Stegostoma tigrinum: one gene and its partners. The protein of the gene in region 4 purifies or fractionates together with the protein of the main gene of each other region. This does not show direct contact. Links are inferred from orthologs where the notes say so. Each region holds a gene or a part of one and is shown on either strand. Other genes may lie near its edges. The genes, in order: niban2a, ikbkb, microtubule-associated proteins 1A/1B light chain 3A and kelch-like ECH-associated protein 1.

Region 1 (6,872 bases), on a different chromosome or scaffold from region 4:
ACTTCATATCATTAGCATTAACAAGTACCCAACTGAAAGCATAGCATTGTAAGAAATTACAGCTCTCAAACTAGTATATTCTGTCCAGTGTGACTGTTTCATAAATATAGCTCATACTGCATTGATTTTTTTCCCCACCCCCCTCTCTGCAATGTAAGCTGGAGGTAATGCTAACAAAGATTACATTCAGTATCAAGAGGTACTACATTCCCCAATGGAAGTCAAGGAATTGTCTAGAACCTCTTTGCCATAGAAGTATTTGGAGAAACCAAAAAAAATCAAAAGTTGCTCCAAAAGGGAGATGATCAGAGAAAGTGACTGTGGCAACTGTTTGGGATCTGTCTTGTGCTCATCGGTTAGAAAGATTCATACAAATGATTAACACAACAGAAACTACCAGCCTTTAGAATTCAAGTAAATTAACAAATTGATGGTATGAGGTAGGAGCTTCTTCAGGTGGTGGTGCTTGTTAACAATTGTCCATCTTCGATGTGAAGGCAACACAGAAGAATTTCTTAACAGACTGGCTAAAAAGCAGCAGGATGTCTTCACAACCGAGATCAATTCACACAATGACAACGCTGGTGTGGCTCCCCCGACTAAGTGAACCAACCTTAACTGTCGTGGCACTTTTTTTCCCCCCCCTCTTATTTAGGTAATGCATCATACCTAACCTACTAAACCTTATACTCCTTAAGTTACATACAAATGGTCAGCTGCCTATTTTAAGCAGGGGTGGGTTCTGAAGCCTAAATCTTAGATTACTCATGTGAGATCTTCAGTACCACTACTACTTCTTCAATTGATGATATTTAATCATTTCCTAACCCCGTCTTTGCACCTGAAGTAATGTTTTGACATATTCCTGATGCCAAACATATCAGAGATGAATCTTCCCTAAACCAAAACAGTTACTGCCACTTCTGAGAAAATGCACAGACGAGTGATAGCTCAATGCTTACTGCAGCTCAGTTGCAGTTCTTATGCTCTAAGCCACACTGCAACATTGACAAGCTGGCAGCATCTTTCTGCATGAGTGAAGAGAAAACAGTCAACAGCAAACAGACAGGCTGTCATTTGTTTTGTCAGCGGCCAAGTCCAGCTCTCACCCATCCACACAGGCCAATATTGTTTTTGCCCAAGTTCAATGCTGCTGGTTGAATAGGTTGAATTCAGACTGGAGAGCCACAAAACAGAATCCACTATAAGTTGTGGGGAAACATTAGCCCTAAGTGATACAGACGAGGACTGTTTTAATTTAAACCAAGGCTTTCTGCCAAGTTAGTCACTCAAATACCAGTGACTCAAGCTAGGAAAGTCACAATGAATGGAAAGTCAGCACTCAGCCACTCCACCATTTCTCATCAATTTCTCATGAAAAGAAAACTCATGAGCAGAAAGACAGACTGGACTTCTGTCTGCTGTAATCAAGGAGCTTTCATTCAGGCTTAAAACACAAACAGGTGCTCACTTTACTGAAATACTAACAGTAACATTAAAACCACGATGCCCTCATTCAAGCTTTTGTTTTTCTAAACTTCAGTCTCCAACAGTGCTCCCGTACTCCACCCTGCATGAAAAAAAACTTAACACACAGAACTTTGGGCAAGACATGGGTGCGGCTGAAAAATTTTATTTCTTGACTACTCCTGCTCATCATTCTCATGGACTCCCATTTCCTCTATACAGAGAGGTTTTACCAGTGCCTTGCGCACAAAAGGCTAACACTACAACCTCCTGAGGTCTGTGTCCATGGAAGAGCTACTGCTGGTTTCCATAATACCTTCACCCACAACCAAACCCCACCCCCCCACCAACAGTCTACCAGCAACAGTACAAACCTTCAACTACATTACCTGGGTGCTTGGAAACCTCTTCTCATGCTGGAGATGAAACATTTCTAAACTTCTGTAAAGCCTACACCACCTTTGACTCAATTCACCAGTCTGCATTGCTGTCTCAGGATATCCTGAAGTCCCAAATAAACAAGTTAACGTTTGGGTGGAACCCAGTCTAACTAGCTGCCTCAGGAGGCAGAGAAGGAGATGCAGAACGTATATTTTTTTTTCTGAAGGGTCCAGACCCGAAACGTCAGCTTTCCAGCTTGTGTTCACCCAACTCTACATCTTGTTATTGCAGAATGTATTTGTTGTTTAATTAGAAACGGTTGCTATCGGATTCCTCCCACGTGTAGTTCACTAGCTGTAATAGGCTGGAGTTGCTAATATAGAAGTTATAAAGATACGAACTCACAGGCTCTATAAAGCAACGTCAAAATGTATTCCCTGTATACAAAGCACATCCCACCCTTTCATTGTACACGTTAAAAAAAAAAGTTACAAAGGGACCTCTCTCCCTGCCCATAACAAAACATCCCTGATAAGATAGAACAGAAACCCAGCCTCGGGTTGCGGCTACTGGTCTTTCTCGCCTGTGTGGTCCATGTAGAAACATGAAGAGACCTTGTGGATCAGGGGAAGGGAGAGAGACCACAGCTCAGCTTCTCGGGCCAGCAGCCTATAGCAGAGCTTCCCCAGAGAACAGCACTGAGCCCTTCAGAATGCTGCCTGTTCCAAGTCAGTTACCATCAAGAAACTGACAGAGCATTTAAGAACAAAATTCTCTCCGCACAAAAGTTTCGCAGCGACAAGGCGATCGACTCGATGCAAATCTTTACGTGAAGTTTGACAAATCTGGAAGGAAAAGCCCAATGCGAGGCAGACAAATCTCTGACCCTACGCCAGAAAGGGCCGCTTTGTTTCCCCCGTACCTGTGATAAACTGTCGCCGGTTCTCATCAAGGTGAGTTGAAATCACATCTCCCATTGCGCCCCACTCTCCGCACAACACTGAATCCCTCCACCCAACACAGGTACAAAGGTTTCCCAGAGAGGCGTGGGTTGAGAGGTCTGTGCTCAGTCGCAGGGAAAAGCTTCTCCAAACACTTCACTCCCCGGTGGACACACCCCTCCCTATTCCCGGTTCAACAAGTTTTCATCTGGGTCTCCCCACAGCCCTCCCCTCTGCTAGGGGTGGGGTTTAAAAATGGCACATGCGCTATTACCTTAAACTTGCTAAAACTACAGCTCATTACCCTATTTTTGAACTGAATTGCAATGTCGGTCGCACGACGTACGCCCTTCAGTCGCTTTTAAAAGAAAGCAAAACGAATAAACAGCTTTAGAAAAACAAGGATTAGACTCAATGGTAGGAAGTCCAGTCTATTTTTTATCCTTTGCAATTCTCTCCCCCAGAGGGCCGGGGAACCTCAGTATTTAGGATATTCTAGACTGAAATTGATAGATTTCCAGATCGGATAGCAAGGGATGTGGCAATATTACGGAAAAATGGTTTGGGGTAGATACTAGTTGAAGCATGCAGTATCGGATGCGATGGATAGAATAGCCTAATTCCTTCCCCAGAAGGGATCTGTTATCTGAGCTTAGACACACAACAATCCGGTTGACTCTTAATCCCTCTCTGAAAACACTCCATGTCCAAATGCAGCAAGATATAGACAATATCCAGGCTTGAGCCAACGAGAGACAAGTGACATTCATGCTGGGCAATAGTCATCTCCAATAAGAGAGATCCATCTCCCCTTGACATGGTGGCGTTACCATCACTGAATCTCTCACTATCATCATCCTGGGGGCTGACATGGACCAGAAACTGGCCTAGCCATACAAATTCTGTGGCTCCAGGAGCAGGTCATAGGCTAAGAATCCTGCCTCAAGCAAATCACTGACTCTGTAAAGCCTGTCCACTGTTAGGAATGTGATGAATGGAATACTCTTCACATGCCTGGATGAATGCAGCTCTAGCAACAGCCAAAGGCTTGTCACCATCCAGCACATCCACAACCTCCCACTGCCGACACCACCGATGTTCAGCAACAGCAGTATACTGCAGAGATTCATTAAGGCTCCTTAGACAGCATCTTCCAAACCCATAGCCACCTTGAAGAACAAAGGGAGCAATTACATGGGAACATCCATACCTGCAAGTTTGTTCCAAGCCACTCACCCTCCTGACTTGGGAATATATCATCATTCCTTCACTGTCACTGGGTCAAAATCCTGGAACTCCCTCCCTAACTACAGTATGGGTGTCCCTAAAACAAATGGATCACAGCAGTTCAAGAAGACAACTTGCCACCACCTTCTCAAAGGCAACTAAGGATGGACAAGAAATTCTGGCCCAGTAAGCAACATCCACATTCTGTGAGTGAATTTATCAAGATGACCTAACAAGCTAGTCAGTTTAAGGGATGGACAATAATTGCTAATCTTTACCAGTGACACTCATATCTCTTGAAAGTGAGACAATATATGCTCTGAATGCTATTGACAAAATGTGACATGTATAACTATTATTCATAGCACAATCTGTTCTTGTTTTTATGTGAAGCACAAGGATACCTAACCTGTTCTCCCGTTTGCTCAACAACATCTGCTCCTCTATTAGGTGAGCCGTCATTGTAATTGAACACAGAGATCACAGAAGGAAATTAACCCAATGGCTGAATGGGAAGATGACATTCCTACCATGTGCTTGTCACAGTCTGTATTTAAATTGATAGCATTAGGTAAAATTAGAAGCCGTGTCAACTGTTTCACTTTTCAGCACAATTTCATTACCATGACATCAATGTAATCACAGTGAAATCTGGGATGGGTGTGGTGTGAATACTGAATTACCATAATTTTTATATCTAGAACAACAGACAAGAAGCAATGAGTCTCAATCCTGTAATTCAGTACAGTAGGGCAAAACCTCTCATTAACATGAAGGTCATTGCTTCTGCACATACATTTGAAATCAGAATTGCAATATCAACTAATCTGCAGATAGTTATTATTAATGTTATCACTATTATTTAATAACACTTTGATACAATATCTCATGCTAAGCAATATTCAGACAAAAATTAATGGAAAACCAAAGAAGTTTTAAAGAGAAGCTTAAAGACCGTAGAAAAGTGTGGAGCTTTATAGCACTCGATAACAATATACTAATAGGGAATTTAATGACATGAAGCAATTAAAGCTGACTGATTATAGACACTTACAGCACAGAAGGAGTCCATTCAGCCCATCATGCCTGGACCGGTCAACAAAGACCTAGCCACACTAACCTCATTTTCCAGCTCTTTGCCCACAGTCCTGGAGGTTATGGCAATGCAAGTGACTCAACTATCCTTCAGGTAGTGAGTTCCTCACTCTCACTACCCTGTGGGTGAAATAAATTCTCTTCACCTTTCCTCTTAGTTTTCTACCTTCAACCTTAAATCTATGCCCCTGGTTATTGTCCACTCTACTAATGGAAACATTCATTTCTATACACTCTATCCACCCCACCTCATGGCTCAGACCCTTTAGACTGGGTAGAATCCTGGTTAATTTCCTTTGCATTAGTTTTAGTGCAGTCACACCCTTCCTATAAATTAATGACTAGAACTGCACGTGGTAGTCTGGTAAGCACCTAACCAGTGGCTTTCGCAAATCCGGCATAAGCTCCCAGCTCTTTTATTCTGTGGTTTAGCGAATAAAGTCAAGCCTCCCTTTTTTTAAAAATCACCTTATCTATCTGCCCTGCTACCTTTGTGGAAGCTATGTGATGTAAGTATGCAGTATATGGTTATTATTTGGGAATTTGAATTGACAAGTGGAAGAAAATAAATTTTAGTTTTTAATTCCATGAGAGCATTTTTTAATAGACAAAGGCCTGAAAGTAATTTTGAGCCATGAACTAAAAATAGGTTTTACCAAGAATGCATGCAACCTAAGCTACAGAACTCAATTAGCTACTTAGGTAGTGAATTGAAGAATATTTACAAAGTTGAGTTTTATGAAGATAAACAGCTGGTCTTGGGCCATTACGCAGGTGAGTTCGTAAAAAAAGAAGTTATCCAAGCAGCAGAGCAGAACTTTTAGTTGGTAGAGTTGCAGAAGGTTATACGTATATCAATCGAGCTGCCAGAGGAGGTGGTGGAGGCTGGTGCAATTACAACATTTGAAAGCCATCTGGATGGGTACATGAATAGGAACGGTTTGGAGGGACATGCACCAAATGCTAGCAAATAGGACTAGATCAGTTCAAGATATCTGGTCAGCATGGATGAGTTGGAATGAAGTGTCTGTTTCTGTGTTGTATAACCCTATAATTCTATGAGTCCAAGTCTGCAGGCTTTGGGAGTTGGTAGAATCTTTAGGTCATCAGATTTAGAAATAAGTATCCAAGTTGTTCGAGTTGAAAAGAAGTATTTAAGCTATTAATCCTTAAAGAAACTCTTGAACAGCTGCAGCAGTCCAAGGAGAAGACTTGGAAAGAGCCTTAAGAAATCACAAAGTTAAGATAGGAATAATACTGGGATTGAGTGACTGCAAAGGGTGTTGCAGGGAATAAGTTTGAATCTTTCAATTTGACACATGTGAAGATTTTTCTCAATGTTTTTGTGTAATAAAGTTGTGTTATTTTGTTAAAAGAACATTGGCAATCTTATGTTCAGTATGTTCAATGACTGACCATCATGGAAACAAAACTGCAAACTTATGATCTATCAAGCCAGGCTTACAAATGAGATCTGACCTGTCTACTGTTACCATCAGCTGGGATCATAACAATAAGAATTTTAAACTTGAGCCATTGAGAGACTGTAATCCAATTTAAGTCAGCAAGTAGAGCGGCAATAAGCAAGCAGAGTTTGTACAGGATAAATTTAGAGCAGCTGTGGTTTGGATACAGTGAAGTTACATTAGGTGCAGGATAACTACTAATGGGAAGCTGATTAGAAAGGCTGAAAATGGGATTAGTAGAAAAGAAGTCTTTGGAACTCCTTGCCACAGAGAGCGGTGGGGGCTGAGCCATTAT
Region 2 (7,492 bases), on a different chromosome or scaffold from region 4:
ATTTTATGAAATTGAAAATGATTGCACAGCCATTTAGCTCATCAAGTTCATGACAGTTCCTGACAAACAATCCAGTTATTCCTATTCCCTGTTCCTTAACAAGCATCCTCAATCTTTGCTCCAAGTAATTCTGCAGTTCACTTGTGCAAAAAATATTGATTCTGTTTAAAGCAGCCCAAGACTATTCATTCCAAACCCAAATCAGTTATTGCAAAATAACTTTTCACTGTGTTCTTTTGTTAGTCACCTTGAACTTGTGCCACGTGGCTACTGAATCTTCAACCTCTTTCTTTAAAATTTACATAGAACATAGAACATAGAACATTACAGCACAGAACAGGCCCTTTAGCCCACAATGTTGTGCCGACCATTGATCCTCATGTATGCACCCTCAAATTTCTGTGACCATATACATGTCCAGCAGTCTCTTAAATGACCCCAATGACCTTGCTTCCACAACTGCTGCTGGCAACGCATTCCATGCTCTCACAACTCTCTGCGTAAAGAACCTGCCTCTGACATCCCCTCTATACTTTCCACCAACCAGCTTAAAACTATGACCCCTCGTGCTAGCCATTTCTGCCCTGGGAAATAGTCTCTGGCTATCAACTCTATCTATGCCTCTCATTATCTTGTATACCTCAATTAGGTCCCCTCTCCTCCTCCTTTTCTCCAATGAAAAGAGACCGAGCTCAGTCAACCTCTCTTCATAAGATAAGCCCTCCAGTCCAGGCAGCATCCTGGTAAACCTCCTCTGAACCCTCTCCAAAGCATCCACATCTTTCCTATAATAGGGTGCCCAGAACTGGACGCAGTATTCCAAGTGCGGTCTAACCAAAGTTTTATAGAGCTGCAACAAGATCTCACGACTCTTAAACTCAATCCCCCTGTTAATGAAAGCCAAAACACCATATGCTTTCTTAACAACCCTGTCCACTTGGGTGGCCATTTTAAGGGATCTATGTATCTGCACACCAAGATCCCTCTGTTCCTCCACGCTGCCAAGAATCCTATCCTTAATCCTGTACTCAGCTTTCAAATTCGACCTTCCAAAATGCATCACCTCGCATTTATCCAGGTTGAACTCCATCTGCCACCTCTCAGCCCATCTCTGCATCCTGTCAATGTCCCGCTACAGCCTACAACAGCCCTCTACACTGTCAACGACACCTCCGACCTTTGTGTCGTCTGCAAACTTGCTGACCCATCCTTCAATCCCCTCATCCAAGTCATTAATAAAAATTACAAACAGTAGAGGCCCAAGGACAGAGCCCTGTGGAACCCCACTCACCACTGACTTCCAGGCAGAATATTTTCCTTCTACTACCACTCGCTGTCTTCTGTTGGCCAGCCAATTCTGTATCCAAGCAGCTAAGTTCCCCTGTATCCCATTCCTCCTGACCTTCTGAATGAGCCTACCATGGGGAACCTTATCAAATGCCTTACTGAAGTCCATATACACCACATCCACAGCTCGACCCTCATCAACTTTTCTAGTCACATCCTCAAAAAACTCGATAAGGTTTGTAAGGCATGACCTACCCCTCACAAAGCCGTGTTGACTGTATTTGATCAAGCCATGCTCTTCCAGATGGTCATAAATCTTATCCCTCAGAATCCTTTCTAACACCTTGCAGACGACAGACGTGAGACTTACCGGTTTATAATTGCCGGGGATTTCCCTATTTCCTTTCTTGAAGAGAGGAATTACATTTGCCTCTCTCCAGTCCTCAGGTACGACTCCAGTGGAGAGCGAGGATGCAAAGATCTTCGCAAGTGGCGAAGCAATTGCATTTCTTGCTTCCCAAAGCAGCCGAGGACAAATCTGGTCCGGGCCTGGCGACTTGTCAATCTTAATGTTTGACAAAATTTTCAGCACATCAGCTTCCTCTATCTCTATCCATTCCAGCATGCACACCTGCTCTTCAAAGGTTTCATTCACTACAAAGTTCGTTTCTTTCGTAAAGACAGAAGCAAAAAACTCATTTATGCAATGTTTAACAGTTTCAAATAACTCTATCTAATGCTCTGTTCATTTTCTGTGCTGATAACAATGACAACTGATGACACATTCCACCAATTTATCAACAATCAAGAGGAGATTGATGGGCAATTGGGGGTAGGGTGGGCATCAGGTGTTGTAATTGGCCGAGTTGGTTTGTCTTGCTCTTAGCGCACAAGACATAACTGGACAATTTTCCACACTGTCAGTGTAGCAGCTGCACTGGAACAGCTAATGACAAAACACAAGTGCTTAGTACTCTTGTTAGAATATTGACAGTGCCCACAGCTCTGGCTATAACAATGCCTTTTGCGATTTCCTGATATTGTACAGAGAGACAGGAATGCATTGGTTGACAGAGATACCATATTTACTGATGTGGATGGCTTGGCAGACTGAGAGACAAGGGCACACTAACAGAATGAGATTCAAAAACACAATAGTAGACTGAGACACTGACACACTGGCAGAGTGAGACACTGACAGATAGGGTCACACTGGTAAATTCGGGCTCAGAAAATAATTGGCAGATGGAAACTCGGGGAGACACTGGCAGACCGAGAAGTGTGGCCACGATGCAATCTGAGATTATGGGAATCACTGGCTGACTCAGATAGGACACACTGGTGGACTGAGAGAGCAACTTCCTGTAACCCGTCCCTCTAGATATGCTGAATATGAAGTCAAGACAAGCCAATGAGTTCTTTGACCGGTTTCCCTTGGGTAATTACGGTGAGAGATGATTTTCTCCAATGACTTGCAGCAAACCCACGGTAAAGTGGAGATTTAGACAGACGCTAGGAAAGGTAAACGGGTCGCGGGGCGGGGGGAAAGTCGCTTACCCAAGGCACGCTGCGGGCTGGGGTCTTTCTGTGTCTCTTCTTCACTCTTTCTAGAAACTTCAGAACAGAGAATTTGGATTTGATCCTTTTACAAGGTGGTGTTTCTGCCGCCCTCCTCGAATTTACCCCAGAATGTTTGTAATTCTCGCCAAACTCAACTTCCGGGTTCTTGCCCGGGGGGGAAATGTCATCACATGGTCCAGGTTAGCGCACCCTAGCAAACTAAACTAATCCGGGTTAAATTCAGTAGCTAGCTTTAAGTAACCCGTTTCATTTAAAACAACCCTAGCTAACTAAATTAGCCTATATTAACTAATCCGGGATAATTATTTAACCAATCTGGTTAGTTTGTACCAAATTTGGCAGACTAAAATCATCCCGATGAGCTAAATAAAATCAGGGGAAAAAAACTGTGGGTGCTGGAATCAGAAACAAAAATAAAAATTGCTGGAAAAGCTCAGCAGGTCTGGTAGCATTGTGGAAAATTCTGGTTTTAATCCTGATTGATTAACCTTGGCTAATAACTTTATTCTGGATTAATACAACAAATCCAGGCTAACTGAACAAAAACTGCATTGAACTCTGCATTCAAGCTCAATTCAAGCTGTTTTAACCAAGACCAAACAAACTCATCTGCAATAACTAAATTACTGCTCTGGTTTTGGTAACCTGGGCTACAAGAATTAATCCAGGTTAACTGAATTAGCCCAATCCAATTGTAACGAACTACATTAACTCAGTAGAGATAAACGCACCCGGGGTTATCTGAACTGACACTGGCCACTGCAATCAACTATTCCTGGGTAACAAACACTTGGCTGGAGGTAAATTTTTAATGTTTGTGAACTTTCTGAAACAGCGCGAATGTAACATGTTCAGTGTGAGCACTGCCATGTATCTCCTACTAAATTCAAATTTACAGGCCAGCATTACTATTATAGGAGGAAGAAGTGCTCAGGTTAGATATCTGACTGCTGCAAGGCCTATTCAGTCACCAATGAAACAGCGTGGAGCTGGAGGATTATAGCAGGTGTGGCAGCATCAGAGGAGTAGGAAAGCTGAAGAAGGGTCCTGGCCCAAAACATCAACTTTCCTGCTCCTCCGATGCTGCTTAGCCCGCTTTGTTCCTCCACCTCCACACTGTGTTATCTATGACTCCAGCATCAGTAGTTCTTACTATCTCTGTTCAGTCACCAGTTTGATTGAGGAGTTAGTTAACCCCAACGTGCAATCTCCCAAGTTTAAACTGGGACAGGCACAGCCTGGTTAGCTCCCCCTACACTGCATACCACCTGATTGAAACATTACTGTTTCACGGTTGTAGTTACCACAATTATTTTTCTTTATCCCTTTCTGGGATGTGGCCACTGCTGGCAAGGCCATTACTTATAGTGTATCCCTAATTGATTTGGAACAGTGTGGTTTGTTGGGCCATTTCAGGGAGCACTTAAGTACTGACCACATTGCTATGAGTTTGGAATCTTACGTAAGCCAGATGAGGTAAGAATGGCAAATCTTCTTCCCGAAAGGGCATCAATGAATCAAACAGGATTTTGCAATAATCACTTGATTTCCAGCATCCAAAGTTTTTTGTTTTCTTTTAAATCATTGATAGTAGTCGTGGACCCCATTCCATTGAGTTTGTCTTTCGGCTGAGAGCATTCTCCTTTTGCCAGTCTGTTATCTCCATGTCATTCTGCACATGCATCTGTTGGGGAGGAGGAGATATCAATTATTCACCCAAAAGCCTTTAAATTGTGCAGATTACATCTGTATAGAATATATGCACACGGATAATATGCTTTGGAGGCCGAGAATACTGAGATATTAGCATCCTTAACAACCCACCTAAATCACACTAGAGATGCTACACAAACCATTCCTTAGTGCAATGTAAGAATAACTACCATTGCAATGATAAATGTGTGGATGTTCCTCAGCTGCCTGCATGATCTGGACAGATCCAAACCACCGATCTGTAGAGGTCATTCTGCAACCAGAAACAGAAGAGGATGTTCTTTATTCTCTTAATCAGATGCTGTGTTCTGATCTGAAACAAAGAAACCAAATTAGCAATCAATGTATTTGACAATCAAGTAGTTTATGACTGGGGCTGATGAGGGGCACTGGGATCATACGGTGGTAAGTATCCTGTGCAGTGACTGCAGCGACCTCAGTTTGGTTGAAAACCACATCAAGTAGCTTATCCTATGTGCAGCTCAGGAGTCAATCCTGGACATAGCAGTTGAAGTCTAGCAGCAGATGCATTCTGAACAATTGGTGAGAAATTATGTCTCTTCCAACTCAAGTCAGGGACTCCATCAACACAATGCCACAAGGTGGTGTAAATTAACAGCTGAGATGATATTCTAAGAAGCTGAAAAACTTGGCATCAACAATGGCATGGAGGGGTTTGGTTAAAGAGGTGGAATATGGCTTTAAAGGAAGAAGCGAGAGAGGTGCAAAGGGAAGAAATTCCAAACCATAAGGCCTTGAAAACTGGCTTTTGAAAGAGAAAAGAGAGATGTATCAGTAGTAAATTTCTGAATTTAAGTTGAGAACAGCTGAAGTCAAGTCTGTCCATGGTGAAACAAAAGGAGGAGGAGGAGATGAACGTTTTTGGCAACTAAATTCCATCAGACTCAAGGGATAACAAGGTGTAGAACTGGATGAACACAGCAGGCCAAGTAGCATCTTAGGAGCAGGAAAGCTGATGTCTCAGGCCTAGACCCTTCATCAGAAGCTGAAAAAGGACCCTCCATCAGACTCGAAGTTGCTTCCTGATTTATTGAAAAATATTCAAGATATCATGCTGGATTATAATGGTGATAGCAATAAATCAAGTAATCAGTGTTAGTAACTTCTACCTACAGTAAAATTAGTTAACTTTCTCTTTGAACCAGTGGATAACCAGTATCTCTGAGTCACAAGCTTTGAGTGTCAGTTCTATACCAGGTGATTGAATGCTTGGAGATCCCCTCATATCTTCGTGGTTTTCATTGTTCCGCACCCAACCCTTGGAAAGCCAGACCACTACAAGGTGTGGCTGACAGCTGTGCTGTAGGTACACAATGTAGTAACGTTTTAACACACACATCCCCAATCTCATTCCTGACCATATTAAGCAGAGAAATGTTGGACTTGCATTGTCTGCAATTTGAAATTGTGATTAACATGTCAATGTCTGATCAATGAGTTGCTAAGACTGCTCATAATACAACCATTTCCCCTTCTTCTATCCCATCTCTGGTAACCTATTAACTAGCGCAGTGATTGGTAATAGTGCTGCAGGAATATTGAGAGAGAGCAGAATGAGGTGACAGGAAGATAGAGGATACACAGGGAGGCTGCAGTGGAGATAGAATGCAAGAGATGTGGGCATGGGGTTTATCCTCCAGAACAAAGGCCTCAGTGCCAGAGAAGAATAAAAAGGGAAAGCTATTCCTCCAAGCTATAGAGAGAGCCCACTGACTGTCAAGATCTCAGGACTGCAGCGTTATCAGTTCAGTTGGTAGCCATCTAGCTGCTGAGTTAGAAGGTTGTCTATTCAAGTTCCAGCAGCTACAGCAAAAGTACTTAGCTGATTTTCCATTGCAGTACTGAGGGAACACTGCACTGTCGAAGTACAGTCTGGGGGAAATCACTATAATGTCAGAGGGTCAGCTTTGAGGGCTTGCTTCACTATTGGAGGAGCAGAATTAAGACAGTGTTACACACTTGGGGCATCAGTACCTGAATAACTCTGCACTGTCAAGGGCAGTATTAAGGGTAATCAGCCAGCTGGAGTGACAATATTGAAGGAGTGCTGCACTATTACAGGGGCAGCGCTGAGGGACCACTCAACTCTGATAAATGCAGAAACAGAAATATGGGGCCTGGTGCTGCTCATGGCTTAGATCTCCAACCTTGGCCCCATACCTAGCATGAGCCAAGTGACCCTGCCCACAAGTTAAGCACAACTATCCCATCCACACCCCCCAACGCAAGCTCAACAGACCCCAAAAGTTTCCGACTCCAGTTATTGAGCCCTGATGTGCCTTTGTCCTCAGCCCTGACCAGTACCTTGGGAATGGTGCCCTATCAGAGTAAAGTATTGAGAGACCGATGTTGCAGGAACAGTGTAAGAGAGTGTTGCAATCTTCCAGGAGCGGGATTGAGGGAATGTACCATGAGGACTGAACTTTGGGAGGGGCTTCATTAAGGGATTGCTATACTGTTGAAGTAAAGGTCTGAGGGAGCATTGCGGAAGTATTGCACTGTTGGAGGGTAGTACTGAGACACCATTTCTTTGTTGCAGAGACAGTACTGAGGGAGTGCTACACTGTTGGGAGGTTAGTTCTGAGAAAGTGCTGCACCACTGGATGGTCAGTTTAGAGGAAACATTTCATTATTGCTGATCAGCACTGATGGAGCCTTGCACTGTTGCAAGGACTGGACCGAGGGAAAAATTGCACTGTTGGATGCACTGAATTTTGGATGAAACGTTATCTCGAAGTCCCATTTGTTCTAACATATGGGTGAGAATCCAAGGCATTGTTTGAAGAAGAGCAGGATGTTCTCAACAACCAGAACTTTAATTATCCTTCATCCAACATCCCTAACAAAGACATCTGACTGTTTAACTTATCGCTGTTTGTGAGGGCTTGCT
Region 3 (7,420 bases), on a different chromosome or scaffold from region 4:
TAAGTATCACCTTGCTGTTTGTGGGAGTTCGCCGTGTGCAAATTGGCAGGTATATTTTCTACATTACAGTAGTGACCATATTTCAACAATTCCTGTGAAGAGCGCTATATAAATGCAATAAAAACAGAAAGTGCTGTAGGACTTAACGGGTCAGGTAGCATCTGTTGAAGAAGCATCACAATCCAAAGAAGATTCGTCTTGGACTCAAAATATTAACTCTGTTTTTCTCTCCGCAGATGCTGCCTGACAGTTCTGCAGCATTTCTGTCTAAATTTCAAATTCCCAGCATCGGCAGTAGTTTGATTTTATACAAATGCATTTAGCTTCTCTGCCTTTGGCGAAGTTATCTGTGATGAAACATTACTCTGTAGCTCTAGCTGCCAGACAGGAGGGTGTAAAAGATCCCAGAGTACAAACTTGATGAAGATCAGTAAAGTTATCACTCATATAAAAACATTGCTGGGAAACTCAGCAGGTTTGGCAGCTTCTGTGCAGAGGCAAACAAAGTTAACATTTCAAGTATGACTCTTGCCTCTTCTTCAGACCCAGGTGTCTTGTCAATGTTTACACATCTCTCAATCAATATCACAAAACACAGGCTATCTTGTCATGTTCAGAGTGCTGTTTGTGAAAGTTTGACCCACACAGGTCATTTGCCATTTTTCCCACAATTTCTACAACAGTGAAATTGGTTCAGAAGTATTGATTTGGCTGTAAAGCTCTTTGATACTTTCTGTGGGTGGGTGTAAAAAGCATTACATAAAAGCAAACATTTTTGAGTTCTATCCCTTTGAAGCTTTTTGTTGACCATTTTTGCCATTTGTGTAAGTTATGAAGATGTTAGGGATGTTCTATTTGTGAAAGCCAGTTGAAGCAAGATAGAACTGGCACCAATGTTCACACACTATTATATTTATTTACAGATTTATACAGAATGAGCATACAACACACTGCTTTTCATCATTTATACAAATAGGAGGCATGGTTAGTTAAGTTTGCAGATGACACCAAAATAACTGGTGTAGTGGACAACGAAGAAGATTATCTCGGAGCACACTGGAACTTTGTTCTGATGGGCTGATGCGCAGAGGAGTGGCAGATGGAGTTTAATTTAAACTCGAGTGTTGCAATTTGGTAAGCCAAAGCAGGACAGGACTTGTACATTAATGTTAGGGCTCTGGGGAGGGTTGCTGAACAAAGAGACCTAGGGCATGCAGGTGCATAGTTCCTTGAAAGTGGGTGGATAGGGATGGTGAAGAAGGCATTTGGCACACTTGCCTTCAGTTGTCAGAGCACTGAGTATAGGATTCGGGACATCATGTTGCAGCAGGTCAAGTCATTGGTGAGACCACTTTTTAGAATACTGTGTGCAGTTCAGGTCACCCTACTGTAGGAAAGATGTTATTAAACTTGAGTGCAGAAAAGATTTACAAGAATGTTGCTGGCTCTGGGGAGTTTGAGCTATAGGGAGAGGCTGAATATGCTGGGGCTTTTAACCCTGGAGTTTCGGAGGGTGAGGGTGACCTTATAGAGGTTTATAAAATCATGAGCGGCATGATTACAGTGAATAGCCAAGTCTTTTTCCCAGGGTGGGAGAGCCCAAAAGGAGAGGGCATAGGTTTAAGATGAGAGGGAAAAGATTTAAAAGGGATCTAAAGAACAATTTTTTCATGCAGAGGGTGGTGCGTACATGACACAAGCTGCCAGAGGAGGTGGTGGAGGCTGTTGCAGGTACAAGATTTAAAAGGCATTTGGATGGAATGAATTGGAAGGGTTTGGCAGGATAGGGGACAAATGTTGGCAAACAGGACTAGGTCAGAGTGGGATGTCTGGTTGGCATGGATGAATTGGACTAAAGACTCTATTTCTGTGCTGTATATCTCTATGACTTCCAATGAAAATCATGCAGCATTAGTCTGTATCCATACAGATTCAATTCCTGTCAGAGTTAATGCCCATCATCTGAACACAATTAACACACAATTAATCAGAAAGATACTTCTGAGTCTATTGCGCAAAGAATTAAAAAAAATCATAGTTCCACCTGAAATGAGATCTCACACTAATTCTATTGTACAGCTGCTAACACACATCCTGCCTCACATGAACGACGATTAATCATGGAGGGTCTGATATTGCCAAGTTATTTCCAGATGACGATGCAAAATTCAACTAAGCATAAGTGCCACTGTGAATGTGGTAAAACATTGCAGTAACCTGCTGTAAAATCCAGTATATGAGATACAGGTTAATTTCATCTGATATTTATCGTCTGGGCTTTACAGCAGAGAAACAAACACTGGTAAAAATGACATATAAAAATACTGTTTCAGAGACAGAAGGAACTGCATATGCTGGAGAATCAAGAAGGGTCTCTCTGAAGAAGGGTCTCAGCCCGAAACATCAGCTTTCCTGCTTCTCTGATGCTGCTTGGCCTGCTGTGTTCATTCAGCTCTACATCTTGTGATCTCTGTGTAAAAATGCAGCATGGACAAAACTATTCCCTCCTGGTGAGTTCTCATCCTTCATGGAGTTAAACAAGAATTACACTTCATGGTGAGAATGGTGGTTTAGTCTGCACCTGGGGTGGAATTTGGGCAGTGTGAGGTGGGTGGGAGCTATAAATGGAACAATAACCTGACTCAGAACTACCCAGTAATGACAGCACTGAAATAGATCATTTGATCCAATTGGGTTGTGCCATTGTTTCAACTTCAAATAAGCCTCATCCTGCCCTGCTTCATCTTCCCCATCAGAGAGTCATTGCATTCATTTCTGTTTGAGCAGCATATCCCGCTGCCCCTTCGGGGCCTGCTCCAATAGTATGATTTCAGCCTTGGTAACCAGATTTTAAATTTAATTAATTTGTAAGTCTTTATTGAAATTGTTAATAACAAACATGAAGCTACTGTTTCGCTATATTAAAATCAAATTCTATTGAAGAGTCATCTAGATTCAAAACATTTTCTCTCCATGAATGCTGTCTGATCTGCTGTGATCTCCAGCACTTGTTTTCTGTTAAAAGGAAATATGCTATTTTTCCAGAGGAGGGTATATCTGCTGTCTTAACCTGACATGGCCTAGCCTACAGACCCACAGTACTGTGCCTGATTAATCTGCCCTCTGAAATGAATTCGTAAGCTACCAAAATAAAACAAAAAAACTGTGGATGCTGGAAATCTGGAACAAAACAGGAAATGATTGGAAAAAAACTCAGGCCTGGCAACATCTGCAGAGAGAAGGTAGAGTTCACACGTTGAGTCCAAGCTGCTGACGCTGCCAGACTTGCTGAGTTTCTCAAATAATTTCTGTTTTTGTAGCAATCTAATAAGTTGCACAAAACTGCTACAGAAAAACAGCACAAGTGGTGCACCTCTGCAATGGTTCAGGAAAGTGGTGGTCAGAAACAATTGGGAATTGTCAATAAATATTGGCCTTGTTAGTGACTCTCATCTCAAAAAACAATTTCATAAAACCCTGAGTTAATTGCTTCCTTTCGGCTCTGCATGCTCTGGATAAAGTCATTTCTTTTTAATTATCTACTGGAGTGGCGATGATCTTATATTTAGGATCTCAATTTATGTCTCCGCCACATCTTCTCCATGTAATCTTTATCAAATTTCGTTTTAAGGCAGTCCGCGGAGACGGCGGATGAAGGTTTAAACCACTTCAGCAATGTCAGTTCTCAGTATCACATCAAAGCGTTAACTAATCTTCCGAATGGACCTGTGACCTCACCCAAACACTGAATCACCAGGGAAGGAAAATAAACTAAAAACAAAGAACCGCGGATGGTGAGGAGCTGAAACAAACAAAAACAGAGAATCCCAAGATCTCTGACCGAAAACGGAGAATGCTGGGGAAACTCAGCAGGTCTGGAAGCGTCTGTGGAGAGAGAAAAAGTTAACATTTCGAGTCCAGTGACCTTTCTTCAGACCTGCTGAGTCTGTCCAGCAATTTCTGGCTTTGTTTTTAAAAACCCTACCACGCTTTAAAGGTGAAGTAAACAAAACTATTCCGTGTGTCCACTAAGATCAACGAACGGCGTGATATTTTATCATTTATCACTGCAAGCGGACATAAGTCCACACCTTCTGCCGAGCAATTCCGTAAAAATTAAAATCGACACCTCATGATAACTGTAACAATCTTTTGTCGTTGAATGTAAATATGATCTAAGTTGAGATTGTTGTGTTTCGTTCGAATGCCGTTCAACGGCTGGTCTTCAACCGAAAACAAAGCGATGAAGTGTGCTGCTCCCTTTGTGTGTGTTTGGCGGGGGGGGGTGGTGGTGTTTGTGAGAGGAATGTGGGGTGGGGGTGGTGTTTGAACACTGGAGAACTTGTCACTTTCTTCCCCGGGTCCTCCCCTTGAAGTATCTTTTGCGTTGACGTCAAAGTGTTCACGTGATGCGGTTTGTTACATCGCTCTGTGCTTGGACACATCAGGAACTGCACCGTCCGCTTAAGCTGATTATTCTCGGGTTCTCCTGCTCAGAAAATGCCTTCTGACAAGTCATTCAAACAGAGAAGAAGCTTCGGTAGGTGGTCGAGCAGCGCGGGGAGCAAAGAGGAGGCCGACCGAGAGAGAAGGGGGAGAAATATACCACTTGGGGAAGAGTGTGACTTGTGTATGTGTGTCCCTGTCTCTCCTCCTCCACGCAGCACCACCCTCCCCCCTTTCTCTGCGGGACTGTTGCTGTTTTTCTTTTTCTCTCCAATTTGCCTTTGACCTTCTCTCAGCTGACTGGGGTGGGGGCGGAGGGGATATACCGGTGTGGATTCTTTTAAACAGCTGCGAGAAGGACACAGGCAGATCAGTGAGAGCGAGAAGGGGGAGGGGGTAGCGAGAGGAGAGATAGAAAATAGGGATCGGTTGCAGGCAGCAAGGATGGAAACGTCGCCAGTAGTTTAACAAAGGGAAAGCGCGCTGGAGATCGGGGTGGCCTGAGGACAATGCGTGCACGCACCCTAATCCTCAGAATCTTTGTACTTAAAAGATGTTTTTTTTTGTTGGTGTTGAAGTGAATTTCAATTATTTCCTCACTTTTTCTCAATGTCAGAAATGAATCTGCCTAATATTTGTGAATCATTGATCGATATGTCGTTTTTGTAACAGTGTCTGAAGCTATCCTTATGATAATTCGTGGGATAGGGCTTCCTGAAGGACGTGAAGGTTTATTGTTGTTCTGTTCATATTTTGGAAGCCATTTTTACAGGAAAATCGCCCCTTTTTAAACCCTGTTTTGGTAACAATGGAAATTCATCTCCTGCCTCCAACTTTACAGATCTTTACGTTTTGAATTGTTGGTTAGAAAACGAGTTAGAACATTTTGACATTCTGTTTTGAGTTTGGATAATCTGGTCGTTTTATGTTTAACAATAGATTCTTTTAAAAAGAAACGAAATGATTTGTCATTGAGTACTGCAATAAACGTTGGGGGTTTTAAAATATTCAATCGTTAAATTTTGGCCCAGATATTTTTACAACTCTACAATAAACTCCGAGGATAACTCGTTCTGTGTTTGGCGAAAAGAAAGGCAGAAATCATTATGTTCAGTTACATGTTTGGCGCTGACAAGATTTTTTTTTCTATTATCTGTTTAATGGCTGAGTCACTAATTCAATTACCATTAAAGAAAAATGACAGTTTAGGTTAAGAGTGTGACAAATGGTGAATATGCAATAGGTTATAATGTATTTATTAGTTAAAATAATAAGAGCTAATTAGGGTTCCCTCAGAGACTCAGATTTCAATGTGTTTTCTTCATTTGCAATGTGCCAACTTTGAGGGAATAAAATGTTCTGGCTTTCCCACACTAATATTGCAGATATTGGAGATAATTGAAACCATCATTATTTTATGACAGTTACTGAGTTGAGGCCTAGTTTGAGATGGGTTATCACCAGGGCAGTTGAACCCTATTTGTTTCTCTAAGGTGATTTCAGATTTCACAAAAATCTGTAATTTCCTTCTTTTTAGGTAAAACAAGACTTAGTGGAATGGCTATATGTAAATTAACATCTTTTTTCTGACCAGTATCACTATGTTGTAGTTTTCAATACTGCATTTTTTCTCTCCTTCAACATGAGTGTATACGTATTGCTCCTACCTATAAAATCTAGATGCTCCATAACATTGACCAGAAATATTGCAGAAAAACACAATGATCTAATAAATCAATTAGGAGACACTTAAGTGTTACTACATTTTATCAAACTCACTTAAGAAACTACAACTTTCTTAATGTCTTAAGACGTGGCCTTGTTAATTAACTTGGAAGCTGCAATCATCTTTGCCAAAACTGAAAGTCTTGTTGGGCTCTTATTGTTCACCACCATATTCTGTTGATTTCCCTGGCTTCAGTTTTTCTGAATGAAGATCTGGAGGTTACTGGACCCTTGAAGGACTTTCCTTCCTTCACCTTGCTTTCAAATGCATTGACTATACTGTTTTGGAGTAACACTGCACCTGGTCTAGGGAGATATTGGTGCATAGCTAATGTTAACTCATGATGCAGAAGCTGTATACAGTACTGTGTTGTGCACCCTTTCTGCAGATCCACCTTTCTCCCCCATTTGAATTGATCTTGGACAGCCTTGTCTTCATTCACGGGAGGTGGGCATCAAGCATTTCTTGCCCATCCCGAATTGCTCTGGACTGACATTTCAGAGGATAGTAAAGAGTCAATACTGTTGTGGGTCTTTAGTTCATAGAATCCCTGCAGTGTAGGAACAGGCCATTCAGCCCAACAAGTCCACGCTGACCCTCGGAACATTCCGCCCAGACCCATCCCCCTAATCTACACATCCCTGAGCACTATGGGCGACTTAGTATGGCCAATCCACATAGCCTGCACATCTTTGAACTGTGGGAGAAAACCCACACAGACACGGGGAGAATGTGCAAACTGCACACAGTCGCCCAAATGTGGAATCAAACCAGGGTTTCTGCTGCTGTGAGGCTGCAGTGCTAACCACTGAGCCACCGTGGTTTGGAGACCAAGTGTGCCAGACCAGGTAACAATGGCAGATTTTCTTCCCCTAAACAGCATGATGAAATAGATGGGGTTTTTTCACAGAAAACTGACAGTGCCTTCATGGTCAGCATTAAGATAACTTCCAGATTTTTGTTGAATTCTAAGTTCACCAACTGCTGTGGTCAGTTAGAGCATGGGGTTCTAGATGATCAGACCAGTAACAACAACACATCGCCACTATCTCCCCATAATGATGTGTTTGACCAAAGGAGACCCCCAACCTCACCCAGTGCCTGGAAAGTCTAACAATGTCTAACCCTTATCCAATACAGTGACCTTGCTGGACTACCCACTTTACCTTTCTCCAGGAAAGGACGTTGGTCCACTCAACTAGTTCTAGAGAATTCTACTGAGCTCATTCAATACCCTGATTCAGTCAA
Region 4 (7,460 bases):
CAATGATAGCAGTGTGTACCACCTACAAGATGCACTGAAGTACCTCACCAAGATTACTCTGACATGGACACGTAGGACCTCACTGGCCTCTGCCTAGTCTTCAAGCCAGCTCTGCCATTCTAGATCACAGTTGGCTACCTATCTCCATATCACTTAATGTCTTTAATAACTCAATCTATCAATTTCTGACTTATTTAATGACTGACCTCTGCAGCTCTGATGAAGGGTCTAGGCCTAAAACGTAAGCTTTTGTGCTCCTGAGATGCTGCTTGGCCTGCTGTGTTCATCCAGCTTCACACTTTGCTATCTTGGATTCTCCAGCATCTGCAGTTCCCATTATCTCTAAGGTAGAGTTCTCCTTGGATCAGAGGAGACAGAAGGAAACCTGATTGGGACCTACAAAATTATGAAGGGCATAGCTATGGTTGAAAGGAATAACACATTCCCTTTAGAGGGGTCAGTTACCAGGTAGGATAGATTTAAAGATATGATCTCCAACTTGATCAATCACAGAGTCTGACAGTTAATTACAATTACACATGGTCGCACCTGTCTCTGATAGTCAATTACACTACTCACCCATGTTCCCTTGGTGTGCCCGTCTTTGACAATCGGTCACACTACCTGTCCATATTTTATCACTGCACCTATCTCTGACAGTCAATCACACCACCTGCTCATGTTCCTCATTGCACCCTCACTGATAGTCAATCACATTACCTGTCCATGTTCCATCACTATGCCTGTCTCTGACATCAAATCACATAGCCTGCCCATGTTCCACATCTGCACCTGTCCATTACAGTTGATCTCACTCCCACCCATATTCCCTTACCAGGCACACATCATGCTTCTGCATGACTTTCATTTCTGGAGGCTATGTAACTACTGAAAAGTGCATGTTCTGAGCAAATTTTACCAGCTTGTTGCATTGTGTTTCACTTTGGTCCAGTTGGACTATTATTGCAGAATAATATAAGTTTTGTAGTGGCAATACAAACAAATGAATAAGAAATATGAGGAACTGATGTGTGAAACCAGAATATTATAGTACCAGAAACGAAGGAGCCTGGACAGCTCATCATGTGCATGTGGAGCTATGCTCCACTTCCAATATCCAAACAATGCAAGCAAACCAGGTGCCACAGAAACAACAGAAATGACCTCCTGTGCCTCCACACTTGAAAGCAGCCAAAATATTCTGGATGTTTCATAGGCCTACCTGTAGCATGACCAGCAGTGGAGTGACATCATGACATACAGGATGAAGACACAATAATGGATGATGAACCTGGACTAATTACAAAAAAAATTTAAAATATACAACTTCCATGTGGAATTGGAAAATGAATTTCTGTCTATGATAAGAGTGTTTGCTTATAGATAGAACCAAAGTATATTGATCAGAAAAAAGCTGAATTTGGAAAAACACCACACAACATGTACAGTAAATTCAGGGATAGTCTACCCTTGAACAGCACACTTTGGACAAATAGAACTGATGAGCTGAAGTCTGTTTTGAAAGCTAAACAGTCTTTTTTTCCCAAAATCAGCAGCAAAAGATAAGGCCTGCAAAAATACAATAAATCAATCACAGATGATGACATAATTAGAGAAGCAATGACATGGTTGCTGACTCTTTAATCAAAGACAACAACAATTAAGATAATAAAATGTGAGGCTGGATGAACACAGCAGGCCCAGCAGCATCTCAGGAGCACAAAAGCTGACATTTCGGGCCTAGACCCTTCACCAGAGAGGGGGATGGGGTGAGGGTTCTGGAATAAATAGGGAGAGAGGGGAAGGCGGACCGAAGATCTTCTTTTCTCACCATCTTCGGTCCACCTCCCCCTCTCTCCCTATTTATTCCAGAACCCTCACCCCATCCCCCTCTCTGATGAAGGGTCTAGGCCCGAAATGTCAGCTTTTGTGCTCCTGAGATGCTGCTTAGCCTGCTGTGTTCATCCAGCCTCACATTTTATCATCTTGGAGAGAAAAGAAGTTAGGTGGAGAGGAGAGTATAGGTGGGGAGGTAGGGAGGGGATAGGTCAGTCCAGGGAAGACAGACAGGTCAAGGAGGCGGGATGAGGTTAGTAGGTAGGAAATGGAGATGCAGCTTGAGGTGGGAGGAAGGGATGGGTGAGAGGAAGAACAGGTTAGGGAGGCGGAGACAGGCTGGGCTGGTTTTGTGATGCAGTGGGGGAAGGGATGAGACTGTAGTCCTTTGGGGATGATCCGGTTCCGTAGGCAGGTGCTGAGGAAGGTGATGTGACTGTGGTACCTGGTTTGCTTCAGGACATGGTCGAACAGTTAGAGTAGACAAGTGCTTGGAGAGACGATGATCTGAAAGGCTTCTTTCCATGCTCTAACACTCTAAACCTTTATTTGAGAACCAAGATTTTAATGCCGTACCACACAATTCCAAGCAACTGTAAAGAACACTCCAACCCACCAAACACTCCCATCATCTCAGTACGATCTGGCGGACGGTGGGGGTGGGGGGGAAATCAACCTGCAACTAACCTGACTGGTCGTCGGTCCTTTTAGACAGCGAAGTTTTGTTTTGGGAAATGGAGTATGCTGAACGCACGTCCAGTCGTTTGCAAACAGGCGGGGATTTTGCTGGAGTGTTGTGCTCATAAATGGAACCGCTGTCATCAAATCGGGCGTCCCAAACGGAGACCACAATTCTGCCTTACCGTTCTGAATGAGACTCCCGGTGATCAGGCGTGGACTCTGTTCACTTCTGCACGGACCCTGTCAGACCGCCTGGCACTCTGATTTTATGTCAGATCCTCTTTAACTCCGCGCACCGCATGATCCAAAACGAAATCGGAAACCGGCCCTGCCCGGTGCCGTTCCGCAGCGGTTAATAACGGCTGCAGTGACTGATGTGAGCGAAGGTGGACGCTGGGGAAATTCACTGACAGTTTCCATGGAAACCCGGCCTAGGAGACAGGAAGCGCGAAGGCGGCGCGCCCGCTGTCCCACACCCTGAGGCTCGGTGAGTAACAAGCAAAGGCCTCGGGCTCTCAGGCTCCTGGGCAGCCCACGGCTGTGATCCATTAGATGAGCAAATTTTGGTCACGGTCTTGTGCTACCTGATCCCGCGGTTGCAGAGCAAGATAAGAGTAGGCCGCCTCCTTGTTCTCTAACCTCCTCCCCCCCCCCCGCTCAGTCCTGACCCTTCCCCTTCCCCTTAATGCCCCTTGTCCCCTCCAGGTATTGATGAAACCCAACTCCCAGGTGAGGGGTTAATGCTGTAAAACTGAGCGTTTTATATATACTTTGTGCAAACTATTCAGAAATGTTATTGCACACCTTTGGAGCAGGTGGGACTTAAACCCAGGCCTCTTGTCTCATAGGTAGAGACGCTACCGCAAGAGATCCTCGGTGATTCTGACGTTTCACACGCTTCAAATCTGCCTGAATGTTTCCAGCGTTTTCCGTTTTTATTTCGTGATACGCAATGCGTTTGCTAGAACTTTATGATCCTCTTACTTTTCTTACCCGCTGCTAAGTGAGGATGACTTTACTTTTAGGCTTGGCAATTTTTAAATTTTGAGTTGCGTTTAGGTATCACCAAGTGAACTGTTTTTGAAGTTCAGCAGTTGATGCAACATGGGGAACGTGCTGCCCAAATTTGCGTTCAGCAAAATTTAACCTGTGACACACTAAACTCATGATCAGACAACCTTGGTAGCTCAGTGTCATAATTTGATTTTGTAAAACTCCTGTGAAGCACTTTAAAATGTTATTATCTGAAAGATGCAAGTTATTTGTATCTGTTCTGGTGGTATTTGGTTGAAGGATTGATATTTAACTTGACAGCAAGGGAATTCTGTTCTTTATAAGGTACAATGAGATTCTTCCGTCAACAGGGAGGGAGAGCCTAAATGAATGGATCATTTGGAAATTGGCATTTCTGTTTGTAGTGCAATGTTGTCTCTGTACTTTGTGAAAATGTCAGCCTAGATTCTGTTTGTTGCCTGAAGTGGGGATTGACTGTACAGTCATCTGACTTACAAACATAACCATTAAAGTAAGCCAGTCTGACATCAAATAGTCTGTTTATCTATTGTACATGTTGACTTGGCTTGTCAGGATTTCAAAGAAAAAAGTTGTGTCCCTTCTTCAGTATTCAATTTCCCCTTCCAATTTAAAATTTTTTAAAGTTCCCCTTTTAAGAATCAAGTCCCAAAGTTATGATTGTTGCTTTTTCACCACAAGGTTTGTAGTAGTTCAAGAGGGGGTTCATTATGACTTTGTCAAAGGCAATTAAGGGTGGTGACTGTGAATTACAAAGTATGAATAATTAAAACAAAATCACCACAAATCTACCTCTCCCTATTGCTCATTGCTCATCTGTCTTTGTATGAATTGCTGACAAATCATGATTGTTGCTTTTTCCTGAACTGTTTACATCATCCCTTGGAAATAAGGTGACCAAAACTCCGCAAAAAGGTTGCGTTGTCAGTGCTGGTCTAGCTAAGGTTGTGGTGAATGTAACCCCTCAGGAAGCTGATAGTGACGGATTCAGCAGTGGTAGCACCATTGTCTGTTGAGGGAGATGGTTGGATTCTGTTTGGAGATGGTCATTACCTGGCACTTGTGAGGCATGAGTATTGCTTGCCACTTATCGACCCAAGCCTGAATTTTGTCCATCTTCTACTACATAAGGCCCCAGACTGTTTCAGTATTGGTGGGTTTATGAATGGTCAGTATTCCACACCAATCACTAATGAACATCCTCCAGATGAAGGGAAAGTCTTTGATAAAACGGTTTTATAACGATACCTGGGCCTTGGGCACTACCTAAGAACTCCCTGCGATAATGTGCCAAGGTAAATGGTCTCTATGCTAGGAATAACTCAAACCAGTGGAGTATTCTGATTCTCATTGACTTTCATTGTAATAACTTCATTATTTCCTGTTTAGCAAAAGCTAAATTGAAATTAACAGTTCACCAGAAACATCAAGAATAAAGACAAAGTTGAACATCAGGGAATAAAATTTTCACATCTGTTTAATCAACCTGTTCAAACATGTTATGATGCACCTCTGGAATAGAAGGATCTTAACTATGGTCTTCTAGCCCAGATGTAAGGACACAGACCCTTGCACAAAAGACTATCGGTAACATTCTCAGAAGTGTATTAGAATGTGGAAGGTTGTGCACTACTGAATAGAAGCCTGTAACAGTTTAGAAATGCATTGTTTAACTATTTGAAAAGGAAGAGTGTAAGAAGCAAGGACAACTGATTTGGATTAAGATTAGATTGCTCTATTTGCAGACCTAATGGTAACCATTACGGACATAAGTTGAATTAACCTAATAACTGCATGTATGACACCAAAGCAGTGAAATATTTAATTCAAAAAAAATTACATCTATTAAGTGGTTATACTGTCCTCTTTCATTCAAAAACTAATCTGCAAGTTAACCTGTCAAGACCTGTAAATGGCCTCCTCTACATTGTGGAAACCAAACGGACGCTGGGAGACTGCTTTGTGGAACACCTATGCTCGGTACGTAACAAATGACCTCCCCTCCCAGTCACGAACCACTTCGACTCCCCCGACTCCCCCCCCCCCCCCCCCCCAACTCCTTGGATGATATATCCATCCTGGGCCGCCTCCAGTGCCACAATGATACCACCCAAAGGTTGCAGGAACAGCTCTTCATATTTTGTTTGGAATCCCTGCAGCCCAATGGTATCAATGTGGACGCCACAAGCTTCAAAATCTTCCTGTCCCCAACCGCATCCCAAAACCAGTCCAGCTGTCCCTACCTCCCTAACCTGTCTGTCCTTTCTTCCACCTACCCACTCCTCCCACCTCAACCCTCACCCCTACCTCCTACCTACCAGCCTCATCACTGCCTCCTTAACCTGTCTTTTCTCCACCTATCTACTCCTTTATCCATCATCCATCTGCCTCCCCCCTTCTATTTATTTCAGAATGCCCTTCCCCTCCCCCATTTCAAAAGAAGGGTCCAGACCCAAAATGTCAGCTTTCCTGCTCCTCTGATGCTGCTTGGCCTGCTGTGTTCATCCAGCTCTACACCTTGTTATCTCAGTAAATTTAACAGTTCTTTTTCTTCCTCTTTGTTTTTATCTCTGATATATTCTTTCTGCCGGTAGACTTGTGCAGTCTTTATTCATGTTCAGATCAAACAAGTTGGAACTCGGGCAGCACACTGCATGGCTCTCTAATGAAGAATAAACATACCTTAAATTCCCTGTCACAAAGTGAAACTGTTGCTTGAACTCAGTTCAAGACATTCCCTCATAGTGCAAGGCTGTTACTTTGGTCTGGTATGAGCAGAGTCGTTGAATCCCTACAGCGTGGAAGGAGGCCATTCAACCAGTTCACAATGACGTTCTGAAGAGCATCCCACCCAGACTCTCTATCCTTGTGACCCTTCATTTCTCATGGCATTCTACCTAGTTTGCGCATCCCTGGACAATTTAGCATGGCTAATCCACCTGACCTGCACGTCTTTGGATTGTGGGAGGATACCCACACAGATATATGGAGAATGTGCAAACACCACACAGGCAGTCAGTTGAGGCTGGCATTGAACCCGAGTCCCTGGCGCTGTGAGGCAGCTGTGCTCACCATTGAACCACTGTTTTGCCCCTGACTGGATAAGGTTGTCCCATTTGAAGTGATCTCATTAGTTATTCAGCTAAGATCTTGGGCTGTGAGACATTATTTTGCTTTCCACTTTTCAGTTACTAAAGTGATTCATGAAATACCGTTCTCCTTTAAAGTAATAGCTCAGAATTGATCTTGTAAGAAAAAATGTTTTGGCAGACAGTGCAGTGGTTGACAAAGATTAACGAACCACAAGTCTTTCATTTACCTTCAATCAAGTGAGTTTTTAAGTAAATGCAGACTTATTAGTAAAGTAGACACCAAACTGTTTTAAATGGTCACGTTTATAGGCTTTATAATTGCTCAGTTCGTTTCCAGTTTGTTCAGTGGTAAATGTACCAGCTGGTACACAGTTGAATCATGAGACGACAATTTTATCTGTAGTTTGTGGTCGCTTAGGTTCTTGGACAAGACAGCAGTTTGCAAGCTACAGTTGTCTTCTTGTTTATGAATGCTATCCATGGATGCTGTTGTTAATACACTGGATGAGGATGATGTTGAACTAGGCTGCAGTGCTTTCCCTGTGATTCAGTAGGTGAAAAATGATGACTAACATGAAGATAGCTTTTTCACAGTTGTACCTCGACATGCGTTAATTACTTGATTTTCCAGGATAGCTGCTGTTTAGAACTAAACATTTAGAAACAAATTTTAGACGTACTCAAATGGAAATGTGAGGTTTGCATGCAGTTTTAAGATTTGTTTAGAAAAATATTTCAAGTGTATACTTGGACATGTGTGCCAAGCATGGGAGGGTGGATTAATGATAGTTATTTTCAGTAAGGTGTTTTGATTGTAAA

What was found.
Region 1: the proteins of kelch-like ECH-associated protein 1 (region 4) and niban2a purify together in Homo sapiens (affinity purification with mass spectrometry; 3 studies listed by BioGRID and IntAct, with this or other methods). This does not show direct contact. The link is inferred for Stegostoma tigrinum from reciprocal best matches to the Homo sapiens genes KEAP1 and NIBAN2.
Region 2: the proteins of kelch-like ECH-associated protein 1 (region 4) and ikbkb purify together in Homo sapiens (affinity purification with western blotting; 7 studies listed by BioGRID and IntAct, with this or other methods). This does not show direct contact. The link is inferred for Stegostoma tigrinum from reciprocal best matches to the Homo sapiens genes KEAP1 and IKBKB.
Region 3: the proteins of kelch-like ECH-associated protein 1 (region 4) and microtubule-associated proteins 1A/1B light chain 3A purify together in Homo sapiens (affinity purification with mass spectrometry; 3 studies listed by BioGRID and IntAct, with this or other methods). This does not show direct contact. The link is inferred for Stegostoma tigrinum from reciprocal best matches to the Homo sapiens genes KEAP1 and MAP1LC3A.

Annotation. Positions count from the first base shown.
Region 1 is NC_081382.1:18,990,803-18,997,674, forward strand, and holds the start of niban2a (protein Niban 2a), read right to left. Parts: upstream 3,001-6,872; 5' UTR 2,826-3,000; coding exon 2,771-2,825; intron 1-2,770. UniProt on the Homo sapiens protein: May play a role in apoptosis suppression. May promote melanoma cell invasion in vitro.
Region 2 is NC_081393.1:16,072,495-16,079,986, reverse strand, and holds the start of ikbkb (inhibitor of nuclear factor kappa-B kinase subunit beta), read right to left. Parts: upstream 3,025-7,492; 5' UTR 2,845-3,024; intron 2,735-2,844; exon of another isoform or gene 2,620-2,734; intron 1-2,619.
Region 3 is NC_081372.1:12,786,257-12,793,676, forward strand, and holds the start of microtubule-associated proteins 1A/1B light chain 3A, read left to right. Parts: upstream 1-4,396; 5' UTR 4,397-4,500; coding exon 4,501-4,540; intron 4,541-7,420. UniProt on the Homo sapiens protein: Ubiquitin-like modifier involved in formation of autophagosomal vacuoles (autophagosomes). While LC3s are involved in elongation of the phagophore membrane, the GABARAP/GATE-16 subfamily is essential for a later stage in autophagosome maturation.
Region 4 is NC_081361.1:41,049,883-41,057,342, reverse strand, and holds the start of kelch-like ECH-associated protein 1, read right to left. Parts: upstream 3,017-7,460; 5' UTR 2,524-3,016; exon of another isoform or gene 2,523-2,523; intron 1-2,522. Other genes in the region: acot11a (acyl-coenzyme A thioesterase 11), read left to right, coding at 5,523-5,529. UniProt on the Homo sapiens protein: Substrate-specific adapter of a BCR (BTB-CUL3-RBX1) E3 ubiquitin ligase complex that regulates the response to oxidative stress by targeting NFE2L2/NRF2 for ubiquitination.